5 linked regions of the Sus scrofa genome follow. The protein of the gene in region 1 purifies or fractionates together with the protein of each later gene. This does not show direct contact. Links are inferred from orthologs where the notes say so. Each region holds a gene or a part of one and is shown in the gene's direction. Other genes may lie near its edges.

Region 1 (4,302 bases):
CCTTCCTCAGGAAGCTTTTGAAGTATATGTACCCCAGAAAAGAGGGGATAAGCGGGGGGGAAAAAAAAAAAAAGGAAGGCTAAGATAAAGGGTATGTAAGAGAGGAGAGGAAAGTTCTAGAGTAACAGCTGTGCACCAGGCCTGGAGAACAGAGGCCTCCAAGAGGAGGCTGTCTTCAAGAAAAAACACCCAAAACTTTAAAATCCCCTAACATGTTAGAACGTATTAAAAGGATATTATGGCTGCATTTATTTGGGGATAAAATTGTGATAGGCACCTAGTAAACTAAGCAAAGGGGGAAATGGCAATTCTTAACTCTAATAAAAACAAAGTGTTGCCCAAGAAAGGGAATTTAATAGTACACTACATGGCTTGGCCATAAGTCATATTTATATTATCATCGTAAATACTACATATAAATTTAGCCAGGGAGTTCCCATCGTGGCTCAGTGGAAACAAATCCCACTAGGAACCATGAGGTTGGGGGTTCGATCCCTGGCCTCGTTCAGTGGGTTAAGGATTGGACATTGCCGTGAGCTGTGGTGTAGGTCACAGACACGGTTCGGAACCCACGTTGCCGTGGCTGTAGCTCTGATTAGACCCGTAGCCTGGGAATCTCCATAGGCCGCAGGTGTAGCCCTAGAAAGCAGAAAATTAATTAATTAATTTAACCAAAGACTGAAATAACTATATTGGATGGACATGAAAAGGGACATATTGGAGATAGGGGATAAGTGCAAAATTAATATCAAATCTCCATCTTCCATAACAGGAATTCAGGAAATAACATTTAAACTGAAAAGAAAAATCTACATAGAATACTATAACCTTGTTATTTAAAGATCAGGAAGTAAATACAAGAAGAAAAACTAAGAGGTGAAAATGGTTCCCTCTCAGAGAGGGAAGCAGGAATGGTGGCCTAAGCCAGGTGTAGTTTTTAAACATTTCTTGACTATTTGGGGGTTAAAAATTAAAATGCAATTTTAAAATATTAAGTGAGACAATTTTGTAAAGCACTTAGCACTGTGCCTCTCACAGTTAACTGTTGCATAAATATATTATTATTACCCTAATCCTTCTAAAAAGCATAAAGCCTTGCTAAGTGGGTGGTGTGGACTTTCCATTCATTCATTTTTTTTTTCCAGCCATACATATACCGTATTCGCTGTGAAACATGAATTACAAACATATGCTAAGGTATCTTTCTATCTGGTTTGTGTGTCTTCCTGGTTTACTCATCCATTATTTTATTGATATGAATGAGGAGTAAGAGCAGTTGCCTCTTTCTGGACCAAGTTCTGAAGAAAGCGATGCTCTTTCTGAGTCACGTTGTTGATACTTTTAGATTTCCCAGAGCAAAATTCTGAATTTTTTCCTTCTCTTTTGTGTAATCATTCACATTTCTGCAATTAAATAAATGACTCTTGTTCAGGTTTACTCTAGTTTCCTAACCAGTCTTCTCCTGTGTGTTTTAACACATTTTCTCCCCATGATCAGGGCCGCAAGCTTCTTATCATCGGGACCACTAGCCGCAAAGATGTCCTTCAGGAGATGGAGATGCTTAACGCTTTCAGCACCACCATCCACGTGCCCAACATCGCCACGGGAGAGCAGCTGCTAGAGGCTTTGGAGGTGAGGATGAGTCAGTGGATTGCACACTGTTTAAAGAAAGGAGTTGAGGCTGGAATCAGTGCTAAGGTGTTGGGCACCTTCAAACTGAGCACCTGGTGTTCAGTTTCTGTGTTAACCTGGAACATGGAACTGAGGGTGTACCTCCAGAATCATTTTCAGGAATTAGAAGAAATAAATGTAAGTGAGAGGGAAGTAATTTCTCATTCCTCAGTTTCAGCAGCATACAAACTGCCAGGAATGAATAGTCTCATGCCCAGCCTGAGTAATGTATAGATGACATGAACCAGAAACGTGAAATAGAGGAAGGGGAGTCAAGTAATCAATATATGAAAAATTCAGTTATTCAGACTAGCTTTCAGCCCATTTACTTGTGTTTAATACATTGGAATAACAATTAAAACCTTAGAAACTTCTTAAAAAGACCTTTATTAACAAGTTCATGACATGGAAGTGATTGCTCACATTTTTTGAGAATGAGTCTTTAAATTTTTTTTTTAAAGTCCTTTATTAAACTTTCCATTAATATCAGTGTGTACAAATGACTTGATCAGATCTGTTAGCAAACATCCAGTGACTATTCAGCTGTGGTAGATTCAGGAACTTCTTAAAATCCTCAAGACCTATACCGTTGGGGCAAACACCCAACGAAGCAAATTATCGAGTGTTCCCTTCGTGGCACAGTGGAAACGAATCTGACTAGTATCCAGAGGACACGGGTTCGATCCGTGGTCTCACTCAGTGGCTTAAGGATCTGGTGTTGCCATGAGCTATGGTGTAGGTCACAGATGCTGCTTGGATCATGTGTTGCTGTGGTGTAGGCCAGCAGCTGCAGCTGCGATTCAACCTGTAGCCTGGGAACTTTCATATGCCATGAGTGTGGCCCTGAAAAGCAAAGAGAGAGAGAGAGAGAAAGAAAGGAAGAGAACCCATATGATATATGTCTTTGGGTTACCTATTTGTGCAGTTTTTGTGCTGGAGTTGAGTAAGAGAAATTAAATTTATTCTGCTTTGACACATACAGATTATTCCTAGAAAGGAATGTTAAGAATTTTAACTGATATTTATTAAGGATTGGAGCTCTTTTTCCCCCAGCAAATATGTCTCTAAATTATAATGACCGTCCATAGGAAAACAGGGCTTAGGATACCAATTTTCATTTTCAGAATTGTACCTACTGGACTCAGAAAAGTCAGGTTGGATTTTAAAGTTCTGAGAGAATTCTATCAGCTTGAACCAGTCAGGTAGTTCTTAGCACTCCTCTTTCAAGGGTAAGTATGAGAATTAACTACTGCCGTTGAGGCACTCATAGAGGTGCTTTCGTTTTTTGTTTTTTTATTGTTCACATAGCTGTTGGGCAACTTCAAGGATAAGGAACGTACCACAATTGCACAGCAAGTCAAAGGGAAGAAGGTCTGGATCGGGATCAAGAAGTTACTAATGTTGATCGAGATGTCCCTGCAGGTAAGATGCTGCCTTCGCCATGTGGCTCAGACATAGAAGCTTCAGGATATATGCAGAGAGGTTTTATCATTTCCTCTCACGAAGGTTTTAATTAAGTTATAATTCCCTTATGTTATTTCCAAACTCAAGTCAGTGTTAGGAGCCCACTTCTGAGATCAAACAGTAACCTGTTGGTACTTTGCTTTCCCACTTCTTAAAATGCAAAAATAAAAGATAGGAGTTCCCGTCGTGGTGCAGTGGTTAACGAATCCGACTAGGAACCATGAGGTTGCGGGTTCAATCCCTGCCCTTGCTCAGTGGGTTAAGGATCCGGCGTTGCCGTGAGCTGTGGTGTAGGTTGCAGACGTGGCTCGGATCCCGAGTTGCTGTGGCTCTGGCCTAGGCCGACAGCTACAGCTCCAATTGGACCCCTAGCCTGGGAACCTCCATATGCCGCGGGAGCGGCCCAAGAAATAGCAAAAATAAAATAAATAAAAGATAAAGTTACTCTAAGTTTTAGTGTAGGTAGCATTAGATCCTAGAACTAGGAAAGACTTGAAAGAACAATTGTTCTGCTGCCTCTCATTTTAGAAGGGAGGTTATTGAGTGTCCCACAGATTGTCAGTGAGTTATCCAAGGTCACTGCCAGTTGTCGAAGGAGAGGGGATGGCGTTGTCCATCAGAGGTCAGGAAGCTACTGCACAGACACCAGAAGGGCCCTGGAGATGGCCTCAAGGGCCAGGGGAAGTGAGTTGTATGGATTAGACTTGGGCTCTGTATATTTTCCCCTGGCTGGGTTCCTCATAATTTCAGGCAAACTGCTGCGGGGTTGAATTGTCCAGGATCACATAGAAAACTAAGCCCCAGGCTACTGCCTGGGCAAAAACAGATGAAGCTTCTTTGGGACTTTCTCACATCCTCTGGCAACTTAGCTTTCTTCTTTTTGCAACTTTACCCCTCCCTGTGCCCACCTTGTCTTTTGTTCTTACCTGACAGACTTGCTAGATAATAACGGCATCCCTTCCAAGCTCTGTGAGTTCGGGAACCTTGGCTCTCACTCACTATTGAATCTACAGCCCCTCGAACAGAGCTGGACACAGAGGAGGGCACACAGTAAACTTGTGTTGAATGCATCTCTCCCAGGTCCTAGGCGGACAGACTGGCTGCCTTCTGAGGGTTATGTATTTCTGCTCAGTCCTGCTGTTCAGTGTGACTTGTGGGTAGCAGAGG
Region 2 (4,302 bases), on another chromosome or scaffold:
GAGGTTGCAGGTTTGATCTCTGGCCTTGCTCAGTGGGTTAAGGATCTGGCGTTGCCATTAGCTGTGGTGTAGGTCGCAGACGCGGCTCGGATATGGCGTTGCTATGGCTGTGGTGGAGGCTGGCAGCTACAGCTCCCTAGCCTGGGAACCTCCATATGCTGTGGGTGTGGCCCTAAAAAGATAAAAAGACCAGAGTTCCCATCGTGGTGCAGTGGTTAACGAATCCGACTAGGAACCATGAGGTTGCGGGTTTGATCCCTGGCCTCGCTCATTGGATTAAGGATCTGGTGTTGCCGTGAGCTGTGGTGTAGGCCAGCGGCTATAGCTTCAATTGGACCCCAGCCTGGGAACCTCCATATGCCGTGAATTTGGCCCTAAAAAGCGAAAAAACAAACAAACAAAAAAAAACAATGAGAAAAAAGAAGGAAGAATAAAGGGAGCCCTATGGTGGGTAATTTATAATCCCCCAAATAAAAACATCAAAATTGTGGGCTTTTCTAAGATCTTTAAGTTATGGAAGGAATAATTTCAAGTGAATAAAAAACTTCTAAGAAATCTCTGATATCTCTGTGTTGGGAAAAGTGTTTAGCTCACTAGGAGTAGATATGAACCCACAAATCTACAGATTAGGAGGTCTAAATAATTTTACCTCTAGTTCAGAATTAAGTTCTTCAAAGTTCTTGGGTCTCTGTTTACTTTTCTCTGAAATGGAGGCAACACATTCTTCAAAGAGTATTAAAAGAAAAAGCAGGAGTTCCTGCTCTGGCACAGCTGGATAAGGATCTAGCCTTGCCACAGTTGTTGTGTAAGTCACAGCTGCAGCTTGGATTCAGTCCTTGGCCTGGGAACTTCCATATGCCTTGAGTGTGGCTGGGAAAGGAAAAACAGTTTGTATCTGAAAGCTATCTCCTTTCTTAACTTCTCCACACTGAATTAACTAATTGCACAGAAATGTACTGATGGTATTAGTTCAAAATGTAAAATGTTTTATCAGAGATATTATCTTCCCCCCACTATACTATGAGTACCTCAAAAGCCTCTAAGTCAGTTTTTTTATCTCCAGCACATGGAGGAAATTCTTTAAATATTGTTGAGATAATGTGTGATTTATGCGTACTGTTGGAAAAATACTTAACACTGGATTTGCAAAGTGTTCTGGGTCTAGTATAATGTGTCATATGCCTTTCTTCTAAATATGGTACCTGAAAAGAAGAGTTGTATTTCACTAGCTTTTTACTTAGATTTACTTTGATTTTACAGTCATTTAACCTAAAGCGTAACCTCAAGGAGATTCCTGAAAACCAGGAGATGTGATTCTGTTGGACTAGTTGGTGAAGCACCAACAGGTCGCTTAGCCTGCTCTCCTCTAAGGATCTCATGTAGGACCTGAGAGACCAACACAGCTTGCACTTTGAGAGTGACCTGGGAGAGAATAGGCTAGTTTACTTTGTTGACTTCAAATCTCTGCCCACTGCTTGTCTAGCAAGCCCCAGCAAGATTGCAGAGTGTACCCCTGAATGGAAACAGCAACAGGTCTCATCTGTCACAATTCTACTTCCTCTTAGTTTTACCCATGAAAGCTAAGACTTTATTTTCTTGGTGTTACCAGCTCTTTGCTTCTGGTGATGAAGAATGTGGCCTTCAGGGCCTTGTACTGATGCCAGAGGAGTTGGAACCCTGGTACTGTCTTTGGGGGGGCTTTGCTGGCACCTTAGAGAGGAGGAATCAGCTAATGTGCTTGTCGCCCTGCAGCCATGAGGAGTGGAACCAGATGCAGAGCCAGGAGGATGAGGTGGCCATCACCGAACAGGATCTGGAACTCATTAAAGAGAGGGAAACAGCGATTCGGCAGCTAGAGGTGAGAACCAGGTCATGTTTTTTGTCTGACTCGTATCTGTAATCTCTAATCCACCTTGCTTTTTCTCTTGGTGATTATGAAAAAAGACGAAATGAGTTGTTGTGTAGTTTGCATATTATGTCTCAAGGTAATCATGGTGAGCTTGAACTACTCTTACGACAGTATTGGCTATCATGTCTGAGAATACCCCAATTCTTTTCTCAGTCATCATATCTTATATGGTCTGCATGAGAGTATGTATAGGGAATAGAGCAAGGCAAACAGATATTTTATTGCTCATTAAGACGCTGTCTCCAGAGTTCCCATCTTGGCACAGCGGAAACGAATCCGACTAGGAACCATGAGGTGCGGGTTTGATCCCCAGCCTCACTCAGTGGGTTAAGGAACTGGCGTTGCCGTGAGCTGTGGTGTAAGTCGCAGACGTGGCTCGGATCCTGCGTTATTGTGGCTCTGGTGTAGGCTGGCGGCTTCAGCTCTTATTCGACCCCTAGCCTGGGAACCTCCATATGCCAGGGAGCGGCCCAAGAAATGGCAAAAAGAAGAAAAAAAAGACGCTATCTCTGAACCTCAGTGCCAACCTCTGGGTTTGGTAGAGCTCTGCAGAGAGCTTAGACCGAATAGCCCCAAATAAAGGCAGGCCAAAATGTTTGCTCCGTTTTTGTGCATCCCAAAGTTCACTCTCAAGTTGTGGATATCACCTCAGTGGGTCAGAGAAATAGGAACAGTTTCTGAGGTAGGTGTTGAGGGAGAGGTATTGAGGCCTTTCTTAGCTGAGTTCCCCAACTTTAATTTTGCACAATGACCAGTAAAATATCCTTAAACCCAAGAACTTTTCTCATGGAGATAGAAGACTGCCATCCCTGGGGCAGTGGGGAGAGGAGGGTTGTAGAGAGAAACTTGGAGCTCTTCACTGACCTTCATCTGTGGCAGTGGTTCTGAACCCTGACTGCATTTTAGAATTATTTGGAGATTTAAACAATTTTTATTGCCTTCAAAGATGTCATATCTTTCCTTCCCCCCCACCCCCTTTTTAATGGCCGCACCAGAGGTATTGGGAAGTTCCTGGGCCAGGGATTGAATTCGAGCCACAGGTGCAGAACACCAGATCCTTTAACCTACTGCACCAGCTCGGGGATGGAACTTGTGCCTCTGCTGCGACACAAACCGCTGCAGTTGGATTCTTAACTCACTGTGCCACAGCAGGAACTCTTTTTCTCTTTTTCACCTATTGCTCCTAATCATCAGCTTGATTCTTTAACATTAGAAATACTGTTATAGCAGGGGTAGAGTTAGGGTTAAGGAGTGGACTGCAGTGTATGTCAGGAGTGTAGTGGGCACTGCACATTCAACAGAATTAAGGCCAGATTCCTTAGGGCTGGATTTTCATATCCAGTCATTTCCTGCATTTAACATACAAACCCTATTCTAATGGTGGAGTAACACACTCCTGTGTGTCTCTTCTGTTCTCAGACTATACCTTGACACTTCTGGCCCCCAAATGTGTGGGTTTTTTCCCCATCAAGCAATTCTGCCACACCACAGGGATGTCCTAATTTAACTCAATGCTGACGCTTTCTACCTGGAGTTAGTTACATCGGATCACACAGGTTGAGGTTTCAGTCCCACAGGACACGCACACACATACACACAGACACACAACTTCAGATACCAGTCACAAGTCCAGATTGTCCCCTGTGGTTCTGACTGACATGGAGGTTCTTGTGATCACCTTCCTTTAGTTTGATTAATTTGCTAGAGCAGTTCACACAACTCAAGAAAACAGCTTACTCCCTAGATTACCAGTTTATTATAAAAGGATACATCTCAGGAACAGCCAGATGGCAGAGAGGCACAGGGCAGAGTTTGTAGGAAGGGGCACAGAACTTCTGTGCCCTCTCCAGGTGTTCACCAACCAAGAAGCTCTCAGAACCCTGTCCCTTGGGCATGATTGATTAAATAACTGGGAGTTCCTGTCATGGCTAAGTGGTTAACGAATCCGACTAAGAACCATGTGGTTGCCGGTTTGATCCCTGGTCTTGCTCAGTGGGTTAACAATCTGGCATTGCTGTGAGCTGTGGTGTAGGTCGCAGATGCAGCTCGGATCCTGCGTTGCTGTGGCTTTGGTGTAGGCCGGTGGCTACAGCTCCGATTAGACCCCTAGCCTGGGAACCTCCACATGCCGTGGGAGCGGCCCTAGAAAAGGAAAAAAGACAAAAATAAATAAATAAATAAATAATTGGCACTTGGTAATTGATTTAACTTCAAGCCCTCCCTTCTCTCCCCAGAGGTCAAGATTGGGGCAGAAAGTTCCAACCATCTAATCACCTGGTTGGTTCCCTGGCAACCAGCCCCCATCCTTAGGGGTTTTCCAAAAGTCAAGCTAATAACAAACTCAGGAATGGTTGAAAGAGGCTGTCATGAATAACAACAGACATCTTTATCTC
Region 3 (4,970 bases), on another chromosome or scaffold:
GCATTTAAAGGCCATGGAACACGGTTGTGGGGCAGCTGCTGAGGTGCCGGATGGCGTCTTTCTCTCTGTAAAGTCTGTAACGTCAGATCCAGCACAACACTGACCTCTCTCTGGGTCACATGGACCTGCCTGTCTTATTTTTCTTGTTTTGTGTTTAGGTTCGATGAGGCGGCACTCTCTATTCAGAAAGAAAAAAATATTTATAAGGAGATTGAGAATTACCCAACTTGTTATAAGGTATGCTTTGAAGACGCTTGTTTTAGCTTTACCTTAGATTTCATGGTGGTGTGACTGTGCCTAAGACCAGGTTCCATGAATATGTGTTTTCTTTTTTTACTGGAAACTATAAATGAAATAAATTAGAATTTTTGACTGAAAAAGCAGTGTCTGAAGTAAAATACTGGATGGGCTTAATCTGAAAATGGAGACGACAGAAGACTCAGGGAACTTAAAGATGGATCAATAAGTCATCTCAAAAATGACCATAAAAAGATGGAAGAGCTGTCTTGCCAATACGATCTTACCAGTCCTGTGTTCTCATTAATCCTTTGTTAAGTGAATAGTACCGTTGCGTCTGTTCTGTGAAGTTTCCACTCATTCATCTTGTCCTTCTGTCCCTCTAAGGATTTTGGGGTAGAATTGCTGCGTTATGGGCCCCCTCTTACTTGTTCCCTTTTTGAGATTAAACCTGTGTAGGTGCCTGGAAGAAACTTCCTTTATAACATGTGATGGTTTTTCTCGGTGGCCATGTCTCTGAATGTGGTTCTTGGATTGGGTACCGGCACCACCTGGGAGCCAGTATGAGAGGCTCCCTCAGCCACTGACCCTGCCATCTCTTCAAGGAGACCCTGGGTGGAGTGTGCACACTGGAGCTCGAGGTGTGCTATTCTGGGATGTTCTGCCGGGGTCTTGTTGAGGTGACAGGGGGATTACAAATCTCTCTAGGCACAGACTGAGATTGAACGTTAAACTCCAGCCGTCAGGAAATTGTCTTTTCTGCATGGATATAAACATGGCCCATAATCGCCTCTTTTGTTTCAGAAAACAATTGCCCAAGTCTTAGTTCATCTCCACAGAAACGACTATGTGGCCGCCGAGCGCTGCGTCCGGGAGAGTTACAGGTGAGCCACCACCAGCTCACAGCTGTTCCTGACACTCAGCTTGGGCCAACAGTCCTGGGTTTTGTTTTGTTTTTAAATAGATTTCAGAGGATGGGAGTGCCTGGCAACCATTCCAGCTTATCAGTGGGATTTTTGTTGTTGTTGTTTTTGCTTTTTAAGGCCACCCCCGTGGTGTATGGAGGTTCCCAGGCTAGGGGCCAAATTGGAGCTGTAGCCGCTGGCCTACACCACAGCCACAGCAGTGTGGGATCTGAGCTGTGTCTTCAACCTACACCATAGCTTGTGGCAATGTCAGATCCTTAACCCACTGATGGAGGCCAGGGATCAAGCCTGTGTCATCACAGATGCTAGTCAGATTCATTTCTACTGCGCTACAATGGCAACTCCAGCAGTGGGATTTTTATGAGTTGTGTTCTTTCATATGTTTTTCTCCTGGGGGCTGCCACGAAAGTGAATGACTTGATTGAATTCGTGATATTCACCAAGAAAAAAAGGATAAGAGGGCAGTGCTCACACTGTGTTGTGAGGAGCTTGGGCTAAGGGCTTTCCTTGGAGGCGAAGTTTTAAGTGAGCAGGGCATCTGAGTCTGGGCACCCTGAGTCCAGGCGCCCCGAGTCTTTGCTGTTGGCCATCCGGGGTGTTGTAGGATGTCCAGCCTGCCAGGCCTCCTCACTTGTACGATCGGCAGTGTCCTTAGATGTTGTCACCTGGGTGGGGGCCGCTCTGTGGGGAACAGACACAGACGTGCCCTGGTCTTCCCCCAGCATCCCCGGCTTCAACGGCAGTGAAGACTGTGCGGCTCTGGAGCAGCTTCTGGAGGGCTACGACCAGCAGGACCAGGACCAGGTGTCCGAGGTCTGCAACTCGCCCCTGTTCAAGTACATGGACAATGATGTAAGTCCTTCCCTCTCCGGGGACCGGGCTTCCTAACACGGAACAGACCGTATTTCACAGGGACTCCAGCATCTCTTAGCTCAGTTGTCCCACATTCCTGTGTCTGGGTGTCGTGTCCCTGTCCCATCCCGGCCATGAGCCAGCTGAATGGCGCTGGGATTTGTGGTGGTTGATGCATCACAGTGGTGGCTAGGCTCTCGGAGGGCCAGGCTCTGTCGCACAGGTGTCGCCTGTTCGCATCTGGTCGTCCGGGTCGTCCAGTCTTAGACGAGCTTTGTCCTTGACAGTATGCGAAGCTGGGCCTGAGCCTGGTGGTCCCTGGAGGTGGAGTCAAGAAGAAGGTGGCAGCCCCTCCACAAGCTCAGCCAGAGGGCGCCCCTGCCCCCGCCGCCCCTGCTGAGGAGGAGGAGGATGAGTATGCAGGGGGCCTGTGCTAGGCTCAGTGTCCCCCACCTCAGGTACCTGAGCTGACGTTGGGGGTGCCCAGATCCCGAGGCCCTGGTCCTGATGTTGGTGCAGATGAGCCTCATTCCCGCGTCTGGACCACCCATCGTGCCCGCTGCCCGTGAACCATTTTTTTCTCTTCATGATAAAGCTCTTGTCAGACACCCGCAGGAGTGAGCAGAGAAGTCACTGTCACATTTTCATGCAGTTGATTTTATAATCGCAAACCAAATTCAGACACATTTGTTCTAAACAAAGCATTACTAGGCGGAGGGCCTCCTCTCTCTTGGGCTCTTGTGATTTCCTGTTAGAGAAGTTGTTTTGCGTTTTATTTAATAATTGCTGCTAAAAGTGACGTTTACTGGTTAAACAAAATAGTGTTTTAAATGTTCGTTTTCAAAAGGAAATTTCTCCCCCGTGATATTAGGTATATTTAAATTATTAGACCTTCAGAAGTGATATTGGGGCAGGAAGCTGTTTGAGCCCTGCCTGCTGTTTGTCCCAGGATGAGGTGCGTGCGGAGTCGCCTGGAAGTCTGTGAGAGAGCACAGTACGGCGAGTCTGTGGTGTCTTCTCTCTTCCACCCGCACGTGCACCGTGACTGTCTCCGAACCCCCTGGCTTCCTGACTGCACGGGAACTAACACGGGCTTGCTCACGCGTCCCGGCAGTGCAGCGCTTCCTCTCAGCCTGGCATCCATGTTTCTTCCCCCTGAGTGGCCTCTGGGTCGTGGGGGAGGTGCTGTCTATATCCCAGCCCGCGTCCCTCCTTCGCAGGCCTCCGCCCTGTGCTCAGACCCCCTCTCTTGCACAGGAAGGGCCCACGCTCCCGCCCCCACCTGTCTGTGCCAGCACAGGGAGCTCGGTGTGCTGGCCTCCGGGGATGCTGAGGCGGTCATCACGGGAGGTCCCGTCCCCCTGGGCTCCGTGGGAGAGCTGGCCAGTGTGCTCAGGCGGGTGGACTGAAGGGTGGAGATTGTCATCGAAGGTCGGGTGCAAACACTAATCAGTGTCCTGCCCCCTCCAGTCCTTGAGTGGTTCTGCGGGCAGCCGCCACCTGCAGACTGGAGGCAAACTGAACCATCTCAGGAAAGCAGATTTAGGCGTTTGTGTTTGGCATTGTGTTAATGTTTCAGAGACACCCCCCCCCCAATCCCGATCCACCAGAAACCTCAGGAGTCTTGTGCTGAGGTGCATTTGAGCTAATGAACAATCCATTTAAAGAGGTTTGGCAACACTGAAAAGATATTTTAGACCATCTTTTATAGACCACATTCTCCATTACAGCCTAGGGAAAGTTTTATTTTTACTCTTTCTTACATGTTAGTCAAAAATGAGCAGTGATCCAGTGCGACCTCCACCCCCCTCCCCTGTCCCAGGCCAGGTTACGAAGTTGCGGGGCTCGTGGCTGTTCCCCGAGGTCGGGGCTGTTCGTGAAGAGAGAGCCTCTCATTTTTCCACTATGTAGGCCTTTGTCCCGAGTACGGTGGGAAGTGAAGACGTGTTTACACCGAGTCTGACAGTCAGTGTTCCGCGGTGTTGTCAGTGCACTCAGTCCACAAGGCACACTTTGTATGTCGAATTCATCTGTACATATGCAGAGGATGCTATTTGTGTATAAAAACTGCTTTATCCCTGGTCTTTTTTCCAGCTCTTTGGTGAATAGAATATTAAATGTGTTATGGAAATGCAGATTATTGCTCCTTTAGGAAGATAATTATGAAAATAAAATCTGAAACTATATAAGTACGATTATTCTTTTCATTATTATCATTCATTTTGCTTTGCTCATGTCCTTTGTTTCAAAAACACATTCTCCACTCTTTACATGCTTCCAACTGCGTTAGATAAGAACAGTCTGTTCATCCAGGTTGTGCATCCTGCCCTGGGAGTCAGGTAAGCTCCTTTGGGGGGTACTTTAAACTCCGGACCTTTGGAAGGTGCCCATCAATCCTCCAGTTACTGTGGTACTTGCTCTCTGTACTTACGGGGGCGACACTTCAGTACACCCTCCAAGAGAACATGTCCTTCACTGAGTTAAGGGAGGTAACAGTACAGCAGGAGGTAAGAAAACGGAAGTGGCAGTGTTTGCATTTATACACGGTTCGCACCTTAGTTGCAGGGGATTTACTCGGTCAGAGGGCACGCTGTGTAATGCTCTGTCTTCCGGAGAATGGGGATCGGTAATAGAGTTCGATACCAGGAGTGGTAGAAATTGGAGTGCTAGGTGTAGGGAGTGCCGTTGGACGGCGCGGTTTTGGTTCCCTTGGGACACCTTGGAGCTGTGAGTGGGCTCTGGTCCCCTGATGTGTGTGTGTGTGAAGCTGGGAAGGAAAACCACCATGTCCCTCTGCCCGCCCCCCCAGGTTTCATCTTGGTGGTGTCAGTAAAAGGCTTGGTCCCGGCTTTAACTTTATGCAGAATTTAAGGATATTGAAAATATCTTAAAAGAGGCCGAAGCAAATACCTGTTTTGAGAAAGGAGAGCACATGTCTTCCATTTGAGTGTTCCT
Region 4 (5,065 bases), on another chromosome or scaffold:
CAGAACTGGGATTCAAACCCAAGTAATCTGGTTGCAACTCTGGATCTTAATCACCATTCTCATCTCAATTTCCATGTGTTTGTTGAATGAATGAAAGATGATCCCTTTTCAATTCCTCACCTCAATATGTTCAGAACTGAAACAGTTCTCTTCCAGGAGGGTTCCCCCCCACATCTGACCTCCATCGCTCCTCCAGGGTCTTGGAGAAGCCTGGAGTCTTTGACTTTTACCTCTTTCCTCCCTGATCCCATTCAATCTCTCATCAAGTCTAGTTGTTTTGTTTTGTTTTTCCTTGGAAACATCTATCAGATTCTCTCCTTCCTCTCCATTTACAATCCCTGCTGTCCTGGTCTAGTCCTCATCCCTTCAGGTGAGATGACCACAGCAGCTTCCAGACTGGTTTCCCTAACTTCACTTCCTCACTCTGTGGGAGACTTGGGGTTTCCAGGCTTTTTTTTTTTTTTTTTTCCCCTTTTAGAGCTGCACCTGCAGCACGTGTAATTTCCAGGCTAGTGGTCGAATAGGAGCTGCAGCTGCTGGCTTATGCTGCACTTCAAGGCAACTCTGGATCCTTAATCCACTGAGCGTGGCTAGGGATGGAACCCACATCCTCATGGATACTAGTTGGGTTCTTAACCCCACTGAGTCACAACAGGAACTCCATCTAGCCATTTTTATTTAAACTTCACAACAATCTATGAGCTAAATATTCATATTTTATAGATGAGAGACTGAATAACAGAACCCAGGTTCAAACAGGGTTTGTCTGGCTCTGAGGACTCTTCTATCTTCAAAAAGACTGCTAACTTTAAGCCAGTCACTTAAATTCCAAGTCTCAGATTTCTTATCTGTATAATGGGGATTACAACATTGTGAGAGCACCTGAGATAAACTAAGCTCAGTGCCTGCCACACAGTATGTGCTCAATGATAATCAGCAATTAAAGTTCGCAAAACCCATAGACTATCTAGCGTATGAGTTTGATAAACTGTTCTGACCAAAAGGCTTCCTGGAAGAGCTCTTGAACCACTTAGCTGGTAAGAAGTTGCCAGACCTGGCCCCTTCTTTGTCCTTCAAAAATGCTCTCTTCCAGGAAGCACCATATGCTGTATGAAAAAATTATCTTACTGATCACTTCAAGAACACAGAAAAGACAAAAAACGCAACACACACAAAAACACATCCTAGCCTGGTGGAAAGTGCACAGAATCTGGGGCTCTGCCCTGTCCAGGTTGTGTGAGCACAAGAAATCTTGAAACCTATATGAATTTTTCTAATCTGCAAAATGGGAATAATAATACCTTCCCCTCCAAGGATACTGAGATAACTCACAGCCTTCAGCGTCTTGCTGGGCACTATAAGACCCACAGAAAGGAGTTGTGCAACATTATCAGAGTCAGATAAGGTAGACGAGCTTTATTCTAAGTCGAGGACGAGATGGATTTCTAAATCTATATGTTATCAAAATAAGTATCAAAAGGAGAGGAAAGGTGAAAAGATTGTGCAAAGCTGATACTATCTCCGTATCTAGGAAACCTGACTACCTTTCTTGCCAGGGAACAAGCAGCTCCTCCCCCTGAATCTTGAGAGGTGAGTGTTGAGAAGACCCGCCCTCTCCGCCGCCGCCAGAGCCCCGCCTCCAGGGTCGAGTAACGCAAGGCCCAGGCCCTGCTGATGGGGGGTGGGGGGGGCTCTGGTCACGTGAGCGCGAGTGCGGAAGTGGTGCGGCTGACGGCGTTCGTGATTGGTCGAGGCTGAGGGACCTGGGGGCGGGGCCAAGCGGCCGGACGCGCCGGGAGGAGCCGAGGAGGGGGCCGCGCCGGGGCCGGCGCCAGAGTCACGGCTTCGGTCTGAGGTGCAGACAGAGTACTGGACCCGCGGCGGGCCGGTGCACCCCTGCCTGCGCGCGCAGCCGCTACAGGTCCCGCAGGCCGAGACGCGGGCTGCTGCGCGAGGCGGGTGGGGTGGGCAGAGGGAGATTGGGAGGGCGCGGGCGCCCTGTGCGCAGAGCAGGCGTGAGGCGGCCGGGGGCCGGGACGCCATGTCCATGGAGGACCCCTTCTTTGTGGTGAAAGGGTGAGTGTCGTAGGGGGCTCCACTGGAGGAGGCGGCGGCAGTGCTGCCTGCCCTCACCTCCCCGCTTTTCTCGCTCTAGGGGGAGGGGAGACAAGTAGAGTCTGGCGTGGGGACCGCTTAGCCTTGAGGGCTATGATAAAGCGTCCAGAGACATCCCCTCTTCGTGCTACCTGGACTTTGAAACCGTGCCCCCAGTCAAGCCCCTGGGGAGGGGGGGGGTCTCCTTTGGCTTGTGCGCCGTTCTACAACTTATGGAGGGGTGTCGAGGGGTTCAGCAGCTCCTCAGGTGGGGAGGGAGACAGGCGTCCCAGACCAAAGTGGGGCTGTAGTGGAGCACCGGGCCCTGCTTTGAAGGGGGAAAAACAGCATCTGGGCAGGAAAAGGGAAATGGGCCTCCTGAGCTTTGTAGTTGGCGTGGACGGGGGTGAGCTCCCATTGTCCATTGAGTTCGGAGCGCTGGCCCGCTGACTGGCGAGACCACAACAAGCCCAGAGGCGTCTGAGCACGTTTGCAGGCTGGGAGGCGGGGGCGCGAGGCTCCGGAAGACAACTCTATTCAGTGGGGGAGTTTTTACCGAGTAATGGGAGGGGAGGAAAGCTGCTGTTCAAACTCAGTGGTGATGTTGGAAGGAAAACAAAATGAAATCAGCCAAACCAAACTTTCCTTAGCTTTCTGTTAGCACAGGGATTTTCCCACAGTGCTAAAGGAAATGAGTGCTTTCTTTTTAACTCCCTGATTTCATCCAGGCTATTTGACAGGTTTCCCCCATTTCTTCTTTTTTCTGCCTTTGAGACTAGAGCTGTCCTAACTTATTTTTCCCTAAGAAGTGTCGTGACTCCATCTTTGATTGCTCAATTGTTTGTTTGGAGATAGAAGCTTTAACTGCACTCTGTTATATAGGCTTTGTAGCCATTAAACAAATGCAGAAAAGATTGATTCTGTTGTTATAACTTGTCAGCTTTTGTTTTAAATGTCAAACAAAACAATCTGAGAACTGCAACGTTCTGGAAAAATCAGTGCCAATGACCTTAAAGTGCCTCTGCTTTCAACTAGTTGCTACTAGCTTCCTATTTCTGTAGGGGTAAAAGTTGACCAGTTGCTTGAGTGTTATTTTTTTTTTTTTACGGTTCATTTTACAAAATTTAAATGGTACTTTAAGTTAAATACTTTATTACCCATGATACAGTTAAATATATTTATGTATTTCTAACATTGCCTTTAAAAGTTTTTTTTTAACCTGACTTTAATATAAATGGAAAAACGCTGAGTTTAGATTATTGGTAATATGTGGCTCTCTACCTGGAAAATGTGTGGTTTATTAGGATTGATTTTTAGGGGATAATTTTTAAATGTGAAAACTGTTTTTTCCTTGAGTGAACGTTCTTAATGCTTAGGGTTGCAAAGGTTATCTCTGGCTGTGGAGACTGTAGATAATCAGAATTTTAAAATTTTTAATGGGATTTGTGAAAATGCAAAATTGTTTTGCCATCTTGACTTTTTTTTTCTTGATGGTAGCCAGTGCAGTTCACCAGTGCTTGCTCACTGATTAGATATCACTGCTTTATTGGAACATTGGCCTTGAGTCTTGCTTGACTTTGACATCATTTTAGCTCATGTTCTTAAGATGTCAAAACCTTCTGCTTTGTGGGAGTTCCCGTTGTGGCGCAGTGCAAATGGATCCAGCTAGTATCCATGAGGACATGGGTTCCATCCCTGGCCTCACTCAGTGGGTTAAGGATCTGGCATTGCTATGAGCTGTGGTGTAGGTCACAGATGAGGCTTGGATCTGGCTTTGTTGTGGCTGTGGTATAGGCCGGCACCTGTAGCTACAATTCAGACCCCTGGCCTGGAGGGAACTGCCATATGCCACAGGTGCAGCCCTTAAAAGAAAAAGAAAAAAAACCCTTCTGCTGTGGAAAAGTAAAATTAGCTACATGAGTGCCTCCACAATGTGTGAGGGAATGTATGGAGCCATGTATCTCTGCTTATTGAAAGTTTTGAAAATGCACCCCACGATGTGGAAAAATTAAAGATGCTTGAATTGTGGCCCTTAGCCTAGGAGCTGGTAGTCTAATCTGAAAAAAACTTACCCCCAAATTAAGTAGAAATGACAGGTGGTAAGTGATCAAATGCTGTAGCCTAGGAGCTGGTAGTCTAATCTGAAAAACAACTTACCCCCAAATTAAGTAGAAATGACAGGTGGTAAGTGATCAAATGCTGAAGTGAATGCTACAGAAGATTAGGTGCCCCAGTAGTCCGGAGAAAGGCATCTCATTAGGAATGGCTGTGGTTGGAAAAGCTTTGGAGGTAGTAGTATGTCTTAGGTTTTGAAGATGGGTAGCTCTTAGATAATTCAGCCTGTGTCTCTTCTGGACTATTGGCAAGAAGAGTATCCATTTGGTCCTCTTGCTCCCAATCCCTTTCCTCTTTCATCTATCTTAGTTCTGCTGGCTGGGTGCTCTCCAGTATGCCGGTGTGAGCCACACATGCCGTGTTACATTGCCTAGTAGATGCAGTAAAAAGTAAAAGACAAGTGAAATTAATTTTAATGTCATCTTTAACCAGTATACTCAAAATATTTCAACATGTGATGAATATAAAGACTGTTAATGAAAGATTTTTCCCTTTTTGTACTACGTCTTAAAAATCCGGCGAGTATTTTGTACTTAGAGCACATCTCAATTTGGACACTAAATTTTCATCAGAAACACTTGATCTTTATTTGGAGTTCATTAAACACACAGTTCAAAGTGCGGATTGATGTACCCAGATTGTTCCACGTATACTTTCAGAATTTTTGGTAGCTGAAGTGTATATCAGTTTTTAAAGTTAAATTAAAATGTAAAATTTAGGAGTTCCCATCGTGGCTCAGTGGTTAATGAATCCGACTAGGAACCATGAGGTTGCGGGTTCGATCCCTGCCCTTGCTCGGTGGGTTAAGGATCCGGTGTTGCCGTGAGCTGTGGTGTAGGTTGCAGACGCGGCTTGG
Region 5 (5,008 bases), on another chromosome or scaffold:
ATATGCTGTATATAAACATTAAATATGTCTTATTTCATATCAGTATGACTCAAATTTTGGGAGGTCTATACTGGAGCTGAAATGGTTACATTATAGATTTGCACTTGAAAGTGGAAGCACCAAAATGAACAAGATTAGGCTCTCAGATGTTGAAGGTGGGAAAGCCTGTTTATTATATATTCCATGAAAACAAAAAATGAAGTAAAACTTTCACATAGCACAGGAACTCTCATTTCTGTTTAATTATAGCACACCTAGTTCATTGGTGATTCCTTCAAAATATTACTGATAACACTGAATAAAGCAGTAAATATTCCAGTTAATTTCTTATTGAATATGCCAATTAGCTGTAAAAATGATAGTGATTTTTCTGCTGTTTCCATGAGTTTTAACTTTAATATTTTAAATTCCACATGTATGAAACAGTAAAAAGCTTTCAGCTATAAGATGAATAAGGTGTGAGCATCTAATATATAACATGGTGACTATAGTTGATAACTGTTTTGTTTGCTTTTTAGGGCCGCACCTGCAGCATATGGAAGTTCCCAGGCTAGAGGTCAAATCAGAGCTGCAGCTCTTTGGCCACACAACACCGGATCCCAGCCATGTCTGTGACCTACACCACAGTTCACAGCAATGCCAGAACCTTAACTTACTGTGCAAGGCTAGGGATTGAACTCATTTAATCATGGCTATTAGTTGGCTTCATAACCAGCTGAGCCACAATGGGAACTCCTAGATATAACTATATTGTATACATGAAATTTGCTAAGAGGAGAAATCAGTATTTTTCACACACAAAGAAAAATATGTGAGTTGATAGATGTGATAGTTAACTAGATGGAGGGACATTATTTCATAATGTATGTGTATATATATCAAATTGTCACTGTACATTTCAAGGATCTTTCCACTTTTGTCAATTACACTCTCAATAAAGCTGAAAAAAATATGGAAGGAAAAAAAAATAGATTCAGTTCTAGGGTGTTCCCTGATGACATTAAGGTTATCAGTCTTAAGTTTCATAAAAACTTATTTGTGGAGTAGTGTTTTATTATAGATTTTGCTGTTTATGTAATTGTTAAACATAGTCTCAAAAATTTGAAAATTTAAGTTTTCAAACCAGTTTTTAAGGTACAGGGTCTGTAATTTCAGAATTTGGTGCAGCTTCAGAACAAACAATAGCTAATGCACAGAGTTGTGTGTCCATTTTTGACATCCAATAAAAAATCTATGGATTAGAAGTCATCAATATCGGATATATTTTGTTATCACATGGCTTTAAGCGTACATTAAGAAGACACCTGCACGTGAGGTTGAGAAATCTGCCAAATGAGAGCAATACACCAAAGCTGACCGTTTCCCTGGAAAGGGGAGCAAAAGGGAAACAAGCTGCGCTGGTAAAAAGAAAAGGGAGCTGGCATTTAAGTGCCGATTTTGTTCCAGGAGCTTCATTTACTTTAGTCCTGTGACCCTTAAGCCCCAGGAGTATTATCACACTTAAGAGATATGCAAACGACCAAACTAACAGTCAATATGTTCTTGGCACTACAACACGTTTCTACCCTAAGAGCTCAATTTAAGGCAGCTACTCTTTAAGAACCTGCGGCTTGATAGGATAAAAATTCCCACTGTTCCGCCTCCGAAAAGTAAACTGCCTAGGTGTCCAAAAATGATTCCCTCATTCTTTGTTCGGCAAGTTTTGTTGCTGAGGGTACGGAAGGGTCACCGTAGGGGAGGCGGGGCTCGGCCTTCTATGATCCCGCCCCTCCGGGCTTTGCTTCCGGGGCGGTCGGGGCGGCCACGTCATCCACAGGCTCCGCTTGCCAGCCGGGCAGTGAATGGTGGGAGTCAAGATGGCGGCGGCCGCGGCAGCAAGTATTCGCGAGAGACAAACAGGTACCGACTTATTCTCTTCTCTTCCCTGAGGTTTCATGCTTGCAGTGAGGACAAGCTTCCTATGCTTGTCGCCCTCACTCGGTCGCGGTGCGTGCAGCTCAGAGGTGGACCTTCAAAAGTTTAATCCTGTTCTCCGAGCATCGAGAGCCCCTCCCCTCTTGAGTTTTTAGGGAAGAGATTCCATTAGCTTGAAAACTCGGCCCTCGGAAGTGGTGCCAGAGAAGTGGCTTCTCGGGTGAGCAGGTTGCTACGGTCCTGTCCTGCACTTGTCGCTTTCCTACTGGACCTCAGAAGGCCTTTACGACAAGATTTAGCAGCTGGCATTTCCCCTCCCTGTGTTGCTGCCTATGAGGTCTTTCGGATTTGTTTCTGTGCATGGTTCAGTTTTCTCCCATTTCAATATTTAGAGTTGCATCTTCCGGCACTTCCACCACAATAACAAAATTTAAGTGTTCTTTTCAGAGCAGATTACATTCTGCCATTTCTCTCCTTTGGACCAATCTTTGGGGGTACCAGATGAGAAATGCTCAGTGTTAAAAGATTTCTGTCTTCAGCATGCTGGAATGAGGTATAAGAATGGCAAAATAAATGAATTAACCTTTCCCATTTTAATTATTTGGCAAATTAGTGTTCTTAAACTATGCGTTATTAGTTTCATGTTTAATAGAACGTAATTATATAGCTCCTGTGTATATTGTGAAATACGGTTTTAAAAAATACACATTCCTTCTCTTTGAGCTTTGGTATTTTTTCCATCTTAGATAATTTTAGTTTTGCCATATTTTTTGGAAACTTGTGATGACAACTTGGTTTATACCTGTTAGCTACAAACTAATGGATTATACCTGTTAGCTAATTGTCTCGAAAATTGGCAAACTGTTAATTCTGAGGAGCTAGTAGAAATAAGCCATCAAGAATATGCATATTTGGAAATTCTGTCTCTTGTAATTATGTTCTTTTGCATATAAATCTGTGTAGGAAAACAACTGATTACAATTAATATGGTCTATAGAAAGGATTTTGGCTATGCTTGATTCCTTCCTTTGGAATTCAAAGAAAAAATTAATGGTAGACCTTAATGTAGTAATGATACACAGTGCATAATGAGTTATGTTCTGCTTTCCACCAATGGATAATTTAGTGTAAACTATCAGATGAAGTCAGGCATAACTTAAATACATGAAAGTCCAAATAAAATTTGAGGAATACCTGCCATTCATTTTATTTGTATAAACAAATAGAAACCCCACTTGTCTTTGCAGTATGGTTCCAACATCTTACTGAACCTCAGTGAATTAGGTCATACTGCATATTAAAATAAAAAACATGTTAAGAAAGACTTTATGCCAATATAAAGGAGCTTTTTGAAAAATTAAATTTGTTAGTAATTTTTATATGCAGAAACTTTGTAGAATATTAAAATCTAATAGCACATAATTTGGATTTCTGCAGTAATAAATTTAATTGTAGCAATATTTCACATCATTACTACATAGGTTATTCCAGATTTATCAAATTAGTACTACAGTTGAGTTCTGTCTTATTTTGGGAGAAAGGCAGACATCTTTATATGTGCTGTAGTGGCAGAAGTAAACATTTGCCTGATGCCCATTGAGAATGTTTTGGAAAATAGATCACAGTTGATTCTTAAATATTCTAGATATAAGACTCTGGTACAAAGGAGTTTGCAGTCTATTTGGGTAGATAATAGCTGATATTTATTGAACATTTAGTATTGTCAGAGACTGTTTTAAGTGATTTTTACATGTATTTTTATCTCCATTTTCCAGGTAATTAAGTTATAGAAAGTTTAACTAGCCAGTTTTTTGCTTTGCCTGCCTGAAGAGTCTTTATTCATCTTTTAAAGTCACTTCAAAAATCATGTCTTTTGTTACAGTTTCCTGAAACACTCTAGTCTTATCCTTTAGTTCAACAGGCAGAATCCTATGTTACCGTTGTCATTCATGCATGCCTCTCTGTTGCAGGTTCTTGCTCAACTCTCCCATTTCTTAGAGGAGAACCCCAAATCAACTGCTTTCTCTCTTACAGTGATCTCATGTAGCTTCTTGGCTTTCAGTACTTTCTATATGCTATGATCCCCACGTTTATATTTCTAGCCTGGACCTCTCCTCAGACTCAGTCTACCCCATATCAAGTAATGACAACTCCATTCTTGTGGTTGTTCAGGTCAAAAACCTTGACACTTTCTTGACTTCTGTCATTTATATCTCACATCAGATCTGTCAGTAAATCTTGCCAGCTTTGCTCTGAAAATTCGCCTAGAATCTGACCTTTATCACACAGGTCCAAGCCACCATGAGTTTCTGCAGTAATCTCCTATTTGGTCTCCTTGCTTTTAAAACTCTGTTTCCCTTCATTTTTCTTCACATAGTATCCCAAGTGATCATGTTACATATTTGCTCAAAACTCTCTAGCACTTTAAGTCATTTATTAGTTTCCCTGTTTCAATCATGGTAAAAGCCAAAGCAATCTGACAGTGGTCTACAAGGCTCTGTATGATCTGCTCTCCACTTAACTTTCTGATTCAATCCCTTTTACTCTCCCCTTTCCTTGAACACACCAGAGTGCTCCACTTCAGAGCCTTTTTGTGTTCTTTCTGGAATACTCTTTCAGAGATATCTGCATGGCTCACTCCGTCACCTCCTGTAGGTCATTATTCAAATGTTACCTTCTCAGGAGGCCTCTCCTGACTACTTAAGTTAAAATTCACAACTCCCTCTTCCTCCTTCCTCCCCTGTTTTCCTTCATAGCACTTATCATGATCTCACGTATCATATGTTTTACTATTTTGTTGTCTTTCTCCCCCAGCTAGAATGACAGTTACTTGAAGATAGGTCACTTTTATTCAGTCCATTTTGTTTAGTACCAACAGCTAGAGCTATGTCTGGCAGGTGGCAAACACTCACTAAACATTTGCTGAGTGATAGTACGTGTAGTTGAATATATAGTGAGCAAAGAAAAAACATTCCAGGTGAGGGTGAAAGTACATTAGCCAAGTCTAGGTGTGTATGGTATATTTAATCATTTCAGTTAAAAGCAATAATTTAAGCCTTTAGAGAGTTACTCTAATGTAAAATAATGTAAAATT

What was found.
Region 2: the proteins of NSF (region 1) and STX12 purify together in Homo sapiens (co-immunoprecipitation; 4 studies listed by BioGRID and IntAct, with this or other methods). This does not show direct contact. The link is inferred for Sus scrofa from reciprocal best matches to the Homo sapiens genes NSF and STX12.
Region 3: the proteins of NSF (region 1) and NAPG purify together in Homo sapiens (affinity purification with mass spectrometry; 3 studies listed by BioGRID and IntAct, with this or other methods). This does not show direct contact. The link is inferred for Sus scrofa from reciprocal best matches to the Homo sapiens genes NSF and NAPG.
Region 4: the proteins of NSF (region 1) and STX6 purify together in Homo sapiens (affinity purification with mass spectrometry; 3 studies listed by BioGRID and IntAct, with this or other methods). This does not show direct contact. The link is inferred for Sus scrofa from reciprocal best matches to the Homo sapiens genes NSF and STX6.
Region 5: the proteins of NSF (region 1) and SCFD1 purify together in Homo sapiens (affinity purification with mass spectrometry; 3 studies listed by BioGRID and IntAct, with this or other methods). This does not show direct contact. The link is inferred for Sus scrofa from reciprocal best matches to the Homo sapiens genes NSF and SCFD1.

Annotation. Positions count from the first base shown.
Region 1 is NC_010454.4:17,615,889-17,620,190, forward strand, and holds part of NSF (vesicle-fusing ATPase), read left to right. Parts: intron 1-1,497; coding exon 1,498-1,632; intron 1,633-2,979; coding exon 2,980-3,093; intron 3,094-4,302.
Region 2 is NC_010448.4:84,949,282-84,953,583, forward strand, and holds part of STX12 (syntaxin-12), read left to right. Parts: intron 1-1,752; coding exon 1,753-1,858; intron 1,859-4,302. UniProt on the Homo sapiens protein: SNARE promoting fusion of transport vesicles with target membranes. Together with SNARE STX6, promotes movement of vesicles from endosomes to the cell membrane, and may therefore function in the endocytic recycling pathway.
Region 3 is NC_010448.4:97,960,544-97,965,513, reverse strand, and holds the end of NAPG (gamma-soluble NSF attachment protein), read left to right. Parts: intron 1-158; coding exon 159-237; intron 238-1,041; coding exon 1,042-1,121; intron 1,122-1,885; coding exon 1,886-2,015; intron 2,016-2,302; coding exon 2,303-2,452; 3' UTR 2,453-2,965; coding exon of another isoform or gene 2,966-3,424; 3' UTR 3,425-4,207; downstream 4,208-4,970. Other genes in the region: uncharacterized protein LOC110261162, read left to right, coding at 2,966-3,424. UniProt on the Homo sapiens protein: Required for vesicular transport between the endoplasmic reticulum and the Golgi apparatus.
Region 4 is NC_010451.4:122,577,343-122,582,407, reverse strand, and holds the start of STX6 (syntaxin-6), read left to right. Parts: upstream 1-1,834; 5' UTR 1,835-2,041; coding exon 2,042-2,076; intron 2,077-5,065. UniProt on the Homo sapiens protein: SNARE promoting movement of transport vesicles to target membranes. Targets endosomes to the trans-Golgi network, and may therefore function in retrograde trafficking.
Region 5 is NC_010449.5:68,847,809-68,852,816, reverse strand, and holds the start of SCFD1 (sec1 family domain-containing protein 1), read left to right. Parts: upstream 1-1,761; 5' UTR 1,762-1,841; coding exon 1,842-1,899; intron 1,900-5,008. UniProt on the Homo sapiens protein: Plays a role in SNARE-pin assembly and Golgi-to-ER retrograde transport via its interaction with COG4. Involved in vesicular transport between the endoplasmic reticulum and the Golgi.